3 linked regions of the Saccharomyces cerevisiae S288C genome follow. Changing the gene in region 3 together with the main gene of any one other region gives a genetic interaction. Each region holds a gene or a part of one and is shown on either strand. Other genes may lie near its edges.

Region 1 (4,636 bases), on a different chromosome or scaffold from region 3:
CGAAGAAAAAAATAAAAAAAAAGGGCCGACGGAGGGTTAGGTCAAATTAAATATTGAGCTAGGTTTAGTTATCTCTTTTTTAGGTTTTTTATATACAAAAAAGATTATATTTAGGGTACATATGGCTGGAGCATAATGTCTGGAATGGGTATTGCGATTCTTTGCATCGTACGTACAAAGATTTATAGGATAACCATCAGCTTCGATTATTCTACACTGATGAGCCCTTTCTTCTTATTCTTAATGATGCCCACTACATTAAAGGATGGGTACAGGATGAATAGTCAAGTAAATGAAGATGCTATAGGTATCAATCTTGACCTCTCACTGCCCACTCACATTTCGCCTACGACTGGTTCAGAGAGCGCCAGTGGCAGTAACGCCAGTACACTTCGCAACGATGGAAATGCACTAGATGGAGGTCTTTTGAGGACTTCAGCAGCGATTTCAGCACCCACAGGTACCAGTCAACCAACAGAAACTATTGGTGAAAAACTGAGTAATGAAGAGCGGGTGAACTCGAATGTTTCCGCTTCGAACTCGACAACGGCGGGTACAGGGCGTATGTTAAGCCAATCCTTGACTAATGATTCACCGTCGAACGAAATATCGACGGATCAGTTGAAGATTTTTCAAAGAATGGACGAAATGAGTGCCCGAATGATTGAGATGGAGGAAAGCTTCAACAAGTTATCTAATAAGATCGCGGAACAGAATACAATGGTTTTAAACCTAAAACAAGATAACTATAAAGTTATGAACAAATTGAATATATTACTTAAGTTGGTTGCGCAGCCAAGCGCGCGCCCAAGCACAAACAATGCCCAAAATAAGCTTGCTATCGAATTGCTAAATTCGATATCAGCCGTTAGTAGTGCTTACTTGCAGAAAATGCAGAATAATGGCTCTGGTAGACAGCATACTGCTGATTTATGTACAGGAGATTCCAACACCCATTCTGGTATCAACCAGCATCGGACTACGAATGGAACCATAGATGTGAATACGAATACTGCACAGCTAAACAACCAATTTTCTAACGCACTAAATACTATCTTACCTGATCAGCAGCATAATCGAAATAATGTTTCCCAAAATATAAACCAATCGCTCCCTAACCGACAACTTGGTCCTGTTATAAACACACAAGCCAATCAGAACCAGTCGCAGGTTTTAATTCATAACACAAATACACATCAGCAGGTAAATCGCTCGCCTATTAGTTTCCCGAACGCTTCAACTGACAAGCCATTCAAGTTGAACCCAAATGGGATTAAACGGCGCAGAAGAAATACGCAAAGTAACAACAATGCGAGCACAAATGACCATGCTAGTGCTGCACAAAAGCCCATATCAGCCCTATCTCCATTAACGAATTCTCATAATTCTACAACTAGCATGAATTATACCAATTCTTCCATTCATTCAGGCGTCACCAGTGCTTCAAATTCATTTCATGACTTAAATTCATTGAATAACTTTGGCACGACAACAGCTTTAAGTTTGCCCAGCTTAGCCCTAGATAACGCTTCTTTTCCCCCAAATCAAAATGTTATACCCCCTATTATAAATAATACCCAGCAGCCTCTATCATTTTCCCAATTGATCAATCAGGATAGCACGACATCTGAATTGTTACCGAGTGGTAAGTCAGGGGTGAACACGAATATTGTAAATAGAAACAGAGCTTCTACTCTACCGTCGTACCCAAAACCAATGACAGTGAAAAGTAATGTCGACGATGATGGCTATCAAGAGGATGATGATGATGACGGTGATGACGAAGGTGATGGAAGGGATAATGAAGAAGACAGCACTGCTGAGGAAGATGAAGTAGATGATGAAATCGAAACAGATATGAAGAACGCTTCGATTAACAAGCGGAGGAGGAGCTTGCATCATAAAAAAAGTAACTCTTTAAACGGTAGAAGAAAGCTTCACGGCGAGTCGGCTACTAAGCCCAACATAAACTCTGATTTACATTATAGGATATTGAAGGCTCCCACTGACGTAAAGACTATATGGGAAGAGTATGATACTGGAATAAGAGGAAAGCCATCGATCAAGCATCTTGAGGCCAAGTATGGTAACAAGTGGAGGCTCAATAAAAATAAGAAGACCTTTTCAAGGCGAAAAAGATTGTACAAGTTCATTCTGAACGGTATGGAGAGAGGTAAAACGGCACAAGAGATGATAGAAACCTTAGAGAACAAAAGGCTATATAAAGATGATGAGGATGGCGAAGTAAAGAAAAGAACCATTGGCTGGTTGCAAGAGAGCCTTGCTGGAATATAGGCACGTACGATAGTAAATAATCGTTTACAATCATAGGAAGGAAGGAAAAAACAAGTGTAACATAAATACATTCTGTAAATCTACAAAAATCGTTAGTGCTGTTTTCTTTTTGAGATTGAAAAGTACGAATCATACACATCTCTTATTCTGAGAAGGGTGCATATGACGTAAATCAATGCGTACAAAGCGGTTTCCGGTGCTGGCCTGGCCCACCACAGTTTTGGCGTGGTTGATTTTAAAAACCTTCGGGAAGGTGAAAAAACCACTCCGAAGGTTCGAGGATGACAAATCGCCCCTTAGCTGTGGCCATACAAGCTTGGCACCGACGAAAAAGGGAAAAAGGAAAAGAATGTCGTACAAGAACTCTTACAACCACGTTGAGATTTCATTTAACAACGCCCCCCTTTCCATTATATAAGAAGGCATTAATTTTTATGTAATAAAAAAAGAATTTCTCGAAAATGTCTTACAATTAATTTTTTCTTTTGTAGAGTAGGGCTTTAATAGACTGATATATACGGTATTATAAGTGAACGAAAAAAACAGCAATGGGTTTATTTGATAAAGTGAAGCAATTTGCTAACAGCAATAATAACAACAATGATTCTGGCAATAACAATCAAGGCGATTATGTTACCAAAGCTGAGAATATGATCGGCGAAGATAGAGTCAATCAATTCAAAAGCAAAATCGGAGAGGACAGATTTGATAAGATGGAGTCCAAGGTTCGTCAACAATTTTCTAATACCTCTATAAATGACAACGACTCCAACAACAACGACTCATATGGTTCTAATAACAACGATTCATATGGTTCTAACAACAATGATTCATATGGCTCTAACAACAATGATTCATATGGCTCCAACAACAATGATTCATATGGCTCTAACAACGATGATTCCTACGGTTCTTCCAACAAGAAGAAGAGCTCTTATGGTTCTAACAATGACGATTCGTACGGCTCCAGCAACAACAATGACTCTTACGGTTCCAACAACAATGACTCTTACGGTTCCAACAACAATGACTCTTACGGTTCCAACAATGACGACTCTTACGGTTCGTCAAACAAGAATAAGAGCTCTTACGGTTCCAACAATGACGATTCTTATGGCTCTAACAATGATGATTCATATGGTTCTTCCAACAAGAAGAAGAGTTCTTATGGTTCCAGCAACAACGATTCGTATGGTTCTAACAACGATGATTCATATGGTTCTAACAACAATGATTCATATGGCTCTAACAACGATGATTCCTACGGTTCTTCCAACAAGAAGAAGAGCTCTTATGGTTCTAACAATGACGATTCGTACGGCTCCAGCAACAACAATGACTCTTACGGTTCCAACAATGACGACTCTTACGGTTCGTCAAACAAGAATAAGAGCTCTTACGGTTCTTCTAGCAACGATGATTCTTACGGATCTTCCAATAACGACGACTCTTACGGTTCTTCCAACAAGAAGAAGAGTTCTTATGGTTCCAACAATGACGATTCTTATGGCTCTAACAATGATGATTCATATGGTTCTTCCAACAAGAAGAAGAGTTCTTATGGTTCCAGCAACAACGATTCGTATGGTTCTAACAACGATGATTCCTACGGTTCTTCTAACAAAAAGAAGAGTTCTTATGGTTCCAACAACGATGATTCATACGGCTCCAGCAACAACAATGACTCTTACGGTTCCAACAATGACGACTCTTACGGTTCCTCTAATAGAAACAAGAACTCCTATGGGTCTTCCAACTACGGTTCATCCAACAATGATGACTCTTATGGTTCATCTAATAGAGGCGGTCGTAATCAATACGGTGGTGACGACGATTACTAAGTTTTTGGATGTCTTCGATAAAAAAAATATATTATTGTGTTTAGACTTAAGTATGAAAATTTTATGTATGAGCTGTGGCTATGTATCCGCTGGCAAATAGGTCTGCTTTTTCTACACTTTCCACCCTCAACCTAACAGAGCCCGCTGGCACAAATAATCGATAGTAGGACAACAGAGCTACTCCTTCTTATGCCCCGCCCCTTTGAGCTTGTTGTATTGCTCTTGATAGTTGTGTTTTTCACTTTCATCAGCATCGGTAGTCTTGCCGTCCTTGTCTTGACTAGCCATTTTCTTAAAAGCGTCACTCACTACCTTTGCATCGCCCTGCAATTTTTCCTTTGAGCTCTGAAATATTTCGCTCACTTTTTGTTGGTCTGTATTCATTCTGGATGTCTTGGTTGTAGAAATTTCTTTTATTGGTTCATTAAAGTCAAGGTAAATGGCGAGAACTAGAATAGAGTTTTATTCTTTTTACCGTTATATAGATAATTCTAGCCGGG
Region 2 (5,805 bases), on a different chromosome or scaffold from region 3:
GATGAAACAAGAAAACCCGAGAATACCGATAAAAAAGAATGTAAACCCGACTATGATATAGAATGCGGTCCTAATAGATCGTGCTCTGAATCCTCTACCGATTCAGACTCTAGTGGTTCACAGATCGAAAAAAATGATCCTTTCAGGGTGGATTGGAACGGCCCCAGTGATCCTGAGAACCCACAAAACTGGCCCCTACTGAAAAAATCATTGGTAGTATTCCAAATAATGTTACTTACTTGCGTCACGTACATGGGATCCTCCATTTACACACCTGGCCAGGAATATATTCAAGAAGAGTTCCACGTTGGTCATGTAGTGGCAACATTAAATCTTTCTTTATATGTTCTTGGTTATGGTCTAGGTCCCATCATTTTTTCACCGCTATCAGAAACTGCACGCTATGGCCGTCTAAATCTGTACATGGTGACTTTATTTTTTTTCATGATCTTTCAAGTTGGTTGTGCTACTGTGCATAACATCGGCGGTTTAATCGTCATGCGTTTCATCAGTGGCATACTGTGCAGCCCATCGTTGGCCACTGGTGGCGGTACAGTGGCTGATATCATTTCACCAGAAATGGTTCCTCTCGTTTTAGGTATGTGGTCAGCCGGTGCTGTTGCTGCGCCAGTCTTGGCTCCCTTACTAGGCGCTGCTATGGTCGATGCTAAAAATTGGCGATTCATATTTTGGTTATTAATGTGGTTAAGTGCTGCCACTTTTATCTTGTTGGCATTTTTCTTCCCTGAAACACAACACCATAATATTTTGTACCGCCGTGCTTTGAAATTGAGAAAAGAAACTGGTGATGACAGGTACTATACTGAACAGGATAAACTCGATAGAGAAGTTGATGCAAGAACTTTTTTGATCAATACTTTGTATAGGCCTCTCAAAATGATTATCAAAGAGCCTGCAATTTTGGCTTTTGATCTCTATATCGCTGTTGCTTATGGTTGTTTCTACTTATTCTTTGAAGCATTCCCTATTGTATTTGTAGGTATATACCACTTCAGCTTAGTTGAAGTTGGCTTGGCCTATATGGGGTTTTGCGTAGGGTGCGTACTTGCTTATGGCTTATTCGGTATTTTAAACATGAGGATTATTGTACCACGTTTTAGAAACGGCACATTCACCCCGGAAGCTTTTTTAATCGTGGCAATGTGTGTCTGCTGGTGCCTGCCTCTGTCTTTGTTCTTATTTGGTTGGACTGCTCGAGTGCATTGGATTTTGCCAGTTATCTCGGAAGTTTTTTTTGTTTTAGCTGTCTTTAACATTTTCCAAGCAACTTTTGCATATTTGGCTACATGCTACCCAAAGTATGTTGCATCCGTTTTTGCAGGCAATGGTTTTTGTCGGGCTTCGTTTGCCTGTGCTTTTCCGTTGTTTGGTAGAGCAATGTATGACAATTTAGCTACTAAGAACTATCCTGTGGCATGGGGTTCGTCCTTAGTGGGGTTCCTAACTTTAGGTCTAGCTATTATCCCGTTTATACTTTATAAGTATGGGCCATCATTACGTACAAGATCTTCGTACACAGAGGAGTAGAAAGCCGATGTTCTTACCATGAAAATTTGAATTATAATAACACAATTTTACTTATCGTCCATCTGTCGACAAAGATGTTCCACATAAGTTTACGTAAAGTTTAGCAGTGAAATAAATACTGTTCATAATGAACTTCATTGTTTATAAAAGTTGTTGTTGCAAGTATTCTCATGTTTATTTATCGCAGACTTGAAATCTTTGAAGGAAGATCTAAGGTCTACACACTATCGGTTACTTTGTGACCCTTTGCTTACCATACGGATGAAAAAAGAAAGAGGAATTACTTGAGCCACAATATCCTTCACTCATATTTGAAAATAGTACTTACTAAAGAAATATGCAACCATTTATACACGTAAGAAGTTCAATTATCAAATAGAAATTAAGCAAAATACTCAATTGAATACAGAGCAAAAGGATTAGCCATACGTTCTAGCACATTTTATGGGCCTAAGACATCATTTCCAGTTAACAGATAATATATTTCTACATAAAAACTTGGCTGTTCCACTGTCAAAGCCAAAAAGAGTCATTTGGTCATGAGAGTAGCTATGTTTCTACGACGAATCGAAAAAAAATGCATACTATTGATATCAAAATCATGCAGAAGGAACACATATTCATATATAACTAATCAGAGGATAAATCCTCTTGCGAATAAAAAGTTTGCGATGTTCTGATGCTTCAGGATTTCCTCTTAATAAATTCATATTTGAAGAGCCAAAGAACCAAAAGAATTGTACAAATTTTCTTCATCTATGAGAGGCCTAAAGGTTCGGGTTTGCTGCTATGTATCCTTGCTAAATTTTGATTATATTATGGCATTTATCGCTATTGCGTTTGCTTGCTGTTGCGCAAAAAATAATACAAAATACCTGATAATGTAAACAACGTAAATAATACAGGAAGTGATGCAAGAGAAGCTGCACAAAACTGCAGCATGCCTCACTTCGAAAAAAAAAAAAAAAAGAAGGAAGTCAGAAGAAGCAAGCCGATCTAAGACAGCTATTACCTCTAACAAGTAAGTCATAGATCAGAACGGCAATACCAGCCAGTGTACAATACAGCTGCATTACAACATAGCGTTTCTTGAACTTTTAGGTGACTGCTGGAAAAAATGAACGCGTCTCATATCGTGTGCGATGGCAACACCGGATCCCTGCGCTCAGAACATTCCGTGGACACCCACTGTCACTTCTTCGAGCCCCACCATTCCTTTACGCAGCCTGCGTGTGTTTCTGCGCGTTAAAACAATTATCACAGAAGGCTCCGGACGAAGAGCGGCAGAAAGAACAACGGTGCAACCGTCGTTGAATTTGATTATCAAATCACCTTATCTGCCATCGTGTTCTAGTAGTCTTCCATTGTATTACCACGGACATTCAAAAATAGTTCTTCTTTAGCAACTCTTTTTTTCTGTTGCCATTGCTCTTTGCGATAGCACATTCTGTTCCTCAATGCTAAATATAGGTGGAACTTGTAGGAGCCTCGAGAAAAAACAGAAAATCTAGAAAAACAAACGGACTTTTACGTCACACGAAAAGTAATGAATCAAAATTTAAAAAACACTTCTTGGGCTGATCGAATAGGAAGCGACGATCAAGAAAGAAAAGCTAACTCTTCAGAGGTTTCACAAAGCCCACCACCCAATAATAGCTTCGAGTCATCAATGGATTCACAATTTAGCTATGCTCATTCAAATAAAAGTAGCATTTCATTCGAATCTATTCAAACCACGGAAAGACTTCTTGACAAATTAGACCTCAGCTTGGAAGATGAACTGATTCTGCAAGAAGCTTTATTAGAAGAAGAAAACGCGTCGAGAAATTCGCAACTGTCACAAACAAGTGGTCCAACATTATGTATGCCTGCGTCGGAATTCCCTTCATTAAGGTATAGAACTAATCCCTCTCCAACATATATACAAGCTAGAGATCGTTCTCTTATCATAGACAATTTAAAAGAAAAGGATTCCACTTTGAGAGGCAAATACTCTTCCGGTAAAGTGGAAAGGCATTTGCCCGTGAAGTCGAGATACTCTTATATCGTCGAAGAAGATTATGACTCTGAGACTTTTAGTGGCATGAAACCCCAAATGAATAGAAATGAGAAAGATTATAAGTACCCAAACCTTGAAAATGGCAATAGAAGCACAAATAGCCCTAATCCTTTCAACTTCGAGAAATATAGGATTGAAAATACTAGACTGCACCATCTTTATCCTACGCTGATATCAGACAATAATACTAGCGTTGACAATAATGCTAATAGTAAGAATAACAGAACTACTAGTAATAATATTAATACATCTACAAAAACTGACAGAATATCCGAGAAGCAGAGTTGCCCCAATGAGTTCACAACCACGCAAAAGAGTAATTGTCTTTATCGGAACGGAAGTTCAACAAGCACCAACACCTCCTTTTCTGAAGTTGGACAACTATCAAAGCCGAAAACTCAGTCTTCTTTTGAAAGTGAATCATCCTCATTCTCCAAACTCAAGTTAACTAAGAGTGATACAACACCCATCAAACCATCTCCTAAACGGTCTAATTCCTCTACCTCGACGATAACGAAAACAAATACCATGACAAATGATATTTCATTACCTCCAACGCCACCATATAAAGCTCATAAAAAAAAAACGTCACTAAATTCGCTAAAAAAACTTTTTAAATCTCCTAGGACAAGAGCAAAAAATAAGAAAGACCTTGAGTCTGAAGGATCAAGCCCTATCCGGTCTGCCACCAATTCATTGGACTTCTCTGGGGAGAATATTCAACTTCCATCTACTTCAAGTACCATTAATAATTCCAGTCCACATTTAGCTAGGTATATTTTTCCTCCAAACCCAGTTTTCCATTTTAAAACAGCATCAACACCTCAGTCATCCACGGATAAAAAAAAGAACAGTAAAGCACGTCCAAATAGGACTCATTTGAGAACTTTCTCGGATTTCCATACAACGGAAAAAGATTCAAAAATAGGTGAACTAAGTGCACTAACAGAACAATCAAATAAGCCCTACCACCCGAAAGTTAGAAGAAGAACACTTTCTTTAGATGGTATGTTGCCCAATAATTCGACGCAATGCATGGATTCCTTCAGTCATAAAAAAGAAGGATCGAACGCAACAAGCAAGTGCGGGAAGCTTAAATTTCACCCAGAACCTTATGATAATGATGAATCTTCACACATCGGACAGGCAATTACTATGCGTCATCAAGGCAAACTTGAAGAATCTGCACAACGACTGAAAAAAGCCTGCGCGTGCGGAAACAAAACTGCGTTTCTGTTATATGGACTAGCCCTGCGACATGGCTGCGGAGTGGACAAGAACTTGAAATTATCATTAGGATATTTAATGGCTGCCACTGATATCAAATCCTTTGCTGCTGAGGTTCTTGATTTAGATATAAATCCGTTAAATTTTGCTTCAATGGACGATATCCCTGATATAGCGCCTGAACCAACAGCACCTGCCTTGTACGAATGTGGTATGGCATATTTAAAGGGTCTTGGGATGGATCATCCCGACGAGCGAAAAGGTTTGAAATTTTTGGAAAAAGCTGCTCTATTAGGCCATGTAGACTCAATGTGCTTAAGCGGGACAATTTGGTCCAAAACTTCAAACGTAAAGAAAAGGGATCTCGCCAGAGCTGCTGCATGGTTTAGGATAGCCGATAAAAAAGGTGCAAATCTATTAGGTTCAGATTGGATTTATAAGGAAAAGTACATGAAACAAGGTCCGAAATAAAGATAAAGAAACGTTGTATACATAAAAGCTTACAGAAAGGCTTAAAAGGAAAGGCATTTATTTTCGTACCATATATCTCACAAAAATAGATAGATAGATAGATATGATATTTTATGAATGGTATCACTTATTCCGCTTGTGAAAAACTTCAAAACTCCGTAAATATATGAACTCTTTTCTTTCAAAAAATTTACTTAACTTTCTATATACGAGGAGTAGAGTATTTATACATGCAATAGATATATACAATCATTACAAAGAATCATATTCAATTCTAAGTATCGTCCACGATTACTATTGCTTTAAATGCTGTTTGGCAAATTCCCAATTGTGATGGTCTTCAAAACAGTGTAATCTTCAATACCATATAGCGAACCTTCTCTTCCAAATCCTGACTCTTTAACACCACCAAATGGTATAGAACAATCCGAAAAAACACCTGTATTACATGAAACCATACCAGTTTCCAAAGCTTCAGACACAGTGTATAAAGTGTTGAC
Region 3 (5,428 bases):
CTCCTGGTCCACTAATTCATGGGTGGCCAGATAGGATTCAAAGTCATCACTGACCAGGTAATAATCGCCGTGGTACTTAATACTGTCGACTAAAGGTTTGAATTCATTTGGATTTTCTGGAGAAAATTGTCCACTTTCAATGTAGGATAAAACAGAATCCAAACTAGATGGTAAATCTTGTGGATGGTATTGATGGTTGTATCTCAATTCTTCGACATTTTCACTTAGGTTACCAAACAAGAAGACATTATCTTCACCAATTTCCCTTGTGATTTCCACATTGGCACCATCAACAGTACCAATAATCAAACCACCGTTCATAACAAACTTCATATTAGAAGTACCAGACGCTTCAGTACCAGCAGTAGAAATATGCTCACTCAAGTCACTTGCTGGAATAATGATTTCAGCCTTAGAAACATTATAATCAGCAACAAAGACAACCTTCAACAAATGCTCAATTGACTCGTCGTTATTAACAATGTCAGCAACACAGTTGATCAATTTTATGATCAGCTTAGCCATGTAGTAACCAGGAGCACTCTTACCACCAAAGATTGAAACCTTGCGTGGATATTTCTTGGCAACTTCTTCGATCGAAGCACCGTTCTTCAGCATATTCTTCATTGCCAGGTAACGGTATATAATACCAAAGACGTTTAGCTGTTGACGCTTATATTCATGAATACGTTTAACTTGCATATCAAACAAGGTGTCGTCCAAATACTCTCTGTTAATGATGTCTACTCCATCATTTTCCTTTTTGATTAAATCTACTAATCTGATCTTATTATTAAGCTTGACTTGGTTCCATTTTTTCAAAAACTCCTTATCTTCAACATATTTTCCCAACTGGGTCAGTTTGGCCATGTCCAACAAATACTCCTCTGTTGGATCGTTAAGGGTTTCACTGATCAGTTTAGCCAATGAAGGGTTAGCTTGCTTCAACCATCTCCTTGGTGTGATACCGTTAGTGACATTGACAAACTTTGATGGACCATAGAACTTGACAAAATCTTTAAATATGGTCGTTTTGATTAATTCAGAGTGCAATTCAGCAACACCATTAACCTTGTGTGAACCAACAATAGCCAAAAAGGCCATTCTGATCTGTCTTTCTGGAGAGTTTTCTTCGATGATGGATATACGAGACAAAAGATCAACATCCTTGGGGAATTTTTTGGCCACATCTTGCAAGAAGAACCAGTTGATATCATATATAATTTCCAAATGTCTGGGTAGCAAATGGCCAAAGAGGCCGACGGGCCATTTTTCCAGGGCCTCTTGCATAACAGTGTGGTTAGTATAAGCAAAAGTCTTGGTCACGATGTCCCAAGCCTCGTGCCAATCTAGTTTTTCTAGATCGACCAAAACTCTCTGTAATTCAACGATGGCTAAAGTTGGATGAGTATCATTCAACTGAATAGCCACTTGGTCAGGAAATTCAGTCCATGGCCTCTTGGATTTTTTGAATCTTCTTAAGATGTCGTGTAAGGATGCAGCACACCAGAAGTACTGCTGTTTCAACCTCAACTCCTTACCTTGAGCAAAGTTATCGTTTGGATACAACACAGCGGTTATAGACTCTGCGCGTTGTTGCTGAGCCACAGAGTTTTTATAGTCACCATTATTGAATTTTGCAAAATCAAATTCTGTTGTTGGCCTTGCTTGCCATAGTCTTAAGTTATTTACATTGGAAGTCTTGAAACCCGGAACTGGGAAATCATACGCGACAGCAAGAACTCTTTCCCCACCGATCCATTGTGACGCACTCAGTGTAGTTTTACCGCCTTCTGGTCTATCAACATAACCATAAAAGGTGACAGGAATTTGCACTTCGTTACGTTCAATTTCCCATGGATTACCAGAATTTAACCAGTAATCTGGAGTTTCCACCTGGTAACCGTCAATAATCTTTTGAGCAAAGATACCATACTCATAACGTAGACCATAACCCCAGGCAGGGATGCCTTCCGTTGCCATTGAGTCGACGAAGCAAGCTGCAAGACGACCTAGACCACCATTACCTAAACCTGCGTCCGGTTCTTGGTCCAAGACATCCTCTAACTTGAAACCTAAATCATCCAAAGCCCCTTTAATCATTTCTCTTGGTTTTCCCTTTGAGGCAGCAGGGTCTTCCGGATCTTCAATCTTCATATTAATCAGGGCATTATCCAAAGCCCTACCCATCAAAAACTCCAAAGACAAATAGTAAACTCTCTTTGGGTCTCTTGTGGTGAATTTCTGCTGAGTTTTGTTCCAGTCAATGACCAAATTGTCACGAATACTCATCGAAGCAGCTTCATAAGCAGCCATGTCATCACAATTATATAGGGAACGTGCTAATGTAGTTTCCACATGGTCAATGAATCTATCTTGAAAATCTTCTGCCTTGTTAAATTTTTTGACTTGATGCTTATTCCATAACGCTCTTGACTTTAAAGGAATCATCGTGTCAATTGACTTGATTTCTTGGGGAAGAAACCCCGTAAGTCTCCTTGTAAGCCTTGGGATTTGGTGTGGAGAAGTAGGTTCTTCGGTTATCATATCATTGGTAGTACTAGTACTAGCTGGCGGCATTGTTCAAAATTAAATTAAGTTGAAAGCTGCTTTACTGAAATTGTAATGTAGAGAAGTCAAAAAAGATCCAATTGTTTTTCTTTTGGATATTTTTAGTAATCGTTACCTTCTCAATCTGTGCTTACTTTATATTACAATAGCAAGCAGAAAAAACTTATAATACTTCGTACGTAATCAAAACAAAAGGTACAACAAGAAACGGGAAGGCACAAAGAATCTTGCTTTACTGCTATACAAACTTCATGCTCCTTTTATACATATAATATATTCGTCGGTGTTCCTTCCTTATCTTTGTAGCATGCACATGGTAGTTATTAACCTCCCCTGAAACTTTTTTAGCGAAAATTATCCACCCCTTACTTATTTCCTCGAGAGTCTCTAAAAAGTAAAAATACAATAACGGTAATTGGGGAAGGCGTTCCTTGTTAATTCAAAATGTTATCCTTGAAACATAGAAGGTGCTGGCTGCATCTCGCAGAGCTTCCTCTTCCGTTGAGCGTTGTATTCTTCCCCCCACAGTGCTACTAGGCGATGCCGCTACCCCTTGAAGGGCCTTCCCGCTGTGGGGCAGCGGCCTTTTTTCCTTAGTGGGAAACAAGCACCGGGGTATATTTCATTGTCTATCAGGAGAAGAGATCGTATACAAATGTTCGTGAGACGGTTTCATCTTGACTAGTTGCCTTGCTAGTCGGATAACTAGTGGAAAGCAGTAGGACACTCCCGATGAGTTTGCGTTTCCACGGGGTTTGACAGAGCTACCTATTGTCTTTTTCATCGAAGGAAACGGTAGTTGGACCTTGCCTTGGATAAGTTGGTGAATCATCCAGAGCTTTAGAAGGGAGCAAAAAATAAAATCTGCGCAAGCCCGGAATCGAACCGGGGGCCCAACGATGGCAACGTTGGATTTTACCACTAAACCACTTGCGCTTGTTATTTACATGAGTGTGGTACTTCTATTGATGGTAGGTGTTCCATTACTTTTTTCGTCTTAAGATGAGCGAGCAAACACAGGGAGAAAATAAAGCGCAATTATTTACCTCATAGGGTACACAATATCCGTGAGAAAAGGATGAATTTGAAATAATTATACAGACTCCTTTTTTTTCAACGTAAAATTATAAGCATAGATTAGAGGCGCTCCTGGATAATAATAGGAACACACACAAGTAAATCAGCAATTTCTCATATCGTACTTATTCGGTAGAGTTAATAATATTCTACTAAAATAACTACTGGTAAGTAGTGAGAGCTTGATTTTTGTACTAATAACTTGTTTCAAAAAAAAAAACGAATAATCAGTTTTACAAAAATGTGTATACCTATATAAACAATCTTAGAGGTAAAGTTCTCCCTCACTAAAAATAATAAAAAATTACGTGCAGATGAGAACCCCGTCTTACCTTAGTATACCTTTAGTTCCCTTTATGACCCGATTTGAACGATAAGTCTTTTATATTTTATTTCTTCCTAAAAGAAAAATGTATGCATTGTAAGTAACTTTTTATGACCATGGTAATAATTAAAGCCGAGGGCTTGTAGATTTACCATCAAAATACCCGCTTAAGAGGATAACTTGAACTTCGAGCTAGTACATTTACCAGTTAGGATATTCTTAGGGAACGTGTAACCAGCATCTTCCCAAGTAGTTAAGTTTGCATTCTGGAATGCATTTAAGTGCGATTGAATATAATCATATGTTGGATAGTCACTTGGATCGCATGTCACGGATATAGCATTACTTGGTTGGTATATTCTAACATAGTCAATCGACATAACCACTGGGAAGAAAATATACTGCCAATCAATATAAGCCCAATTGTTGGAAATACCCAGATTTAGAATAATCGACATTGGTTCTTTACTGATTCTTCTCCAACCAATATTACCATCAGGATGTAAGGCTTTAGCATGAATAGTATAAGTTGGAGTATCACCAACAAACCAACGGATATAACCATTGTCGTCATCGTTCAGATACTCAATGGCATATTTTTGAAAGTAGCCACCGTACTCACCGAATTCATACCAAGTTACGTTCAAAGTTGAGACAGCAGATACGGCTTGTTGAAATGGACCGCCAGCATAAGTGTTCATGGTCGTTGTTGTGAAATTGTAAACCTCGATAAAATCATAGTCAGGCATGTACCAGATATCAAAAGGTGCAATTTGCAAGGATTGAGAGGCTATACCTACACCAATCTTAGTATCAGTTTCACCTTCCAAAACATCAATTTCTGGAGCTCCTCTACCAACACCTTGATTCGGATGATCTTCACCATCACAAGTACAAATACTTAACTTTTGTCCCGGCAAGTAAGAAATACCATCCGGGGAACTTTGGTTGGGTGTAATACCAGCATCACACGATTCATAAGAATAAGGCCAGACACCTTGGGTACTAGCCAAATAACCGGGCCTCCCTAAATTACCCATAGTCCAAAGACCGGGCCACAAACCTGAAACACGGCCATAATTTGGTAGATTTGCAGAGATTTCTAGAGCACCCTGCGTGAAACAAACCTTATTCCAACTCTGCAACATACCTGATCTGTAATATAAGCCATGGTTCTTAAAGGCATCCATTCTCAGCTGCAAGGTTCCGTTCACAGTTGTGGAAGCGTCTGGACTGTACCATTCTAAATCCTTAGTAGCATCATAGTGAACATCAGGGGCTGTCCAGTATGGATCATCCCCATCATAAAATGTTCTGCCTTCTGCATTAAACTCATCAGAAAATACTAATTCCCACTTAGAGCCATCCATAGCTTCTCTTGTCTTCGCTGTATCAGGTGTGTCTGGGTCAACCAGAGATGTTCTAATGGCGGATAGTTGAGGATATTGGTATTGA

Evidence for each region. A genetic interaction does not mean that the proteins touch.
Region 1: mutations in YPR159C-A (region 3) and DDR48 together harm fitness more than expected from each alone (negative genetic interaction), as found in Saccharomyces cerevisiae (one large-scale study listed by BioGRID).
Region 2: mutations in YPR159C-A (region 3) and DSF2 together harm fitness more than expected from each alone (negative genetic interaction), as found in Saccharomyces cerevisiae (one large-scale study listed by BioGRID).

The regions. Positions count from the first base shown.
Region 1 is NC_001145.3:605,846-610,481, forward strand, and holds DDR48 (DNA damage-responsive protein 48), read left to right. Parts: upstream 1-2,843; coding exon 2,844-4,136; downstream 4,137-4,636. Other genes in the region: HOT1 (Hot1p), read left to right, coding at 136-2,295; PAI3 (Pai3p), read right to left, coding at 4,314-4,520. UniProt on the Saccharomyces cerevisiae protein: DNA damage-responsive protein that may be required for maintaining the rate of spontaneous mutagenesis. Shows low ATP and GTP hydrolysis activity.
Region 2 is NC_001134.8:248,306-254,110, reverse strand, and holds DSF2 (Dsf2p), read left to right. Parts: upstream 1-3,094; coding exon 3,095-5,305; downstream 5,306-5,805. Other genes in the region: FLR1 (Flr1p), read left to right, coding at 1-1,548; UGA2 (succinate-semialdehyde dehydrogenase (NAD(P)(+))), read right to left, coding at 5,608-5,805.
Region 3 is NC_001148.4:858,458-863,885, reverse strand, and holds YPR159C-A (uncharacterized protein), read left to right. Parts: upstream 1-3,470; coding exon 3,471-3,572; downstream 3,573-5,428. Other genes in the region: GPH1 (glycogen phosphorylase), read right to left, coding at 1-2,580; beta-glucan synthesis-associated protein KRE6, read right to left, coding at 4,141-5,428.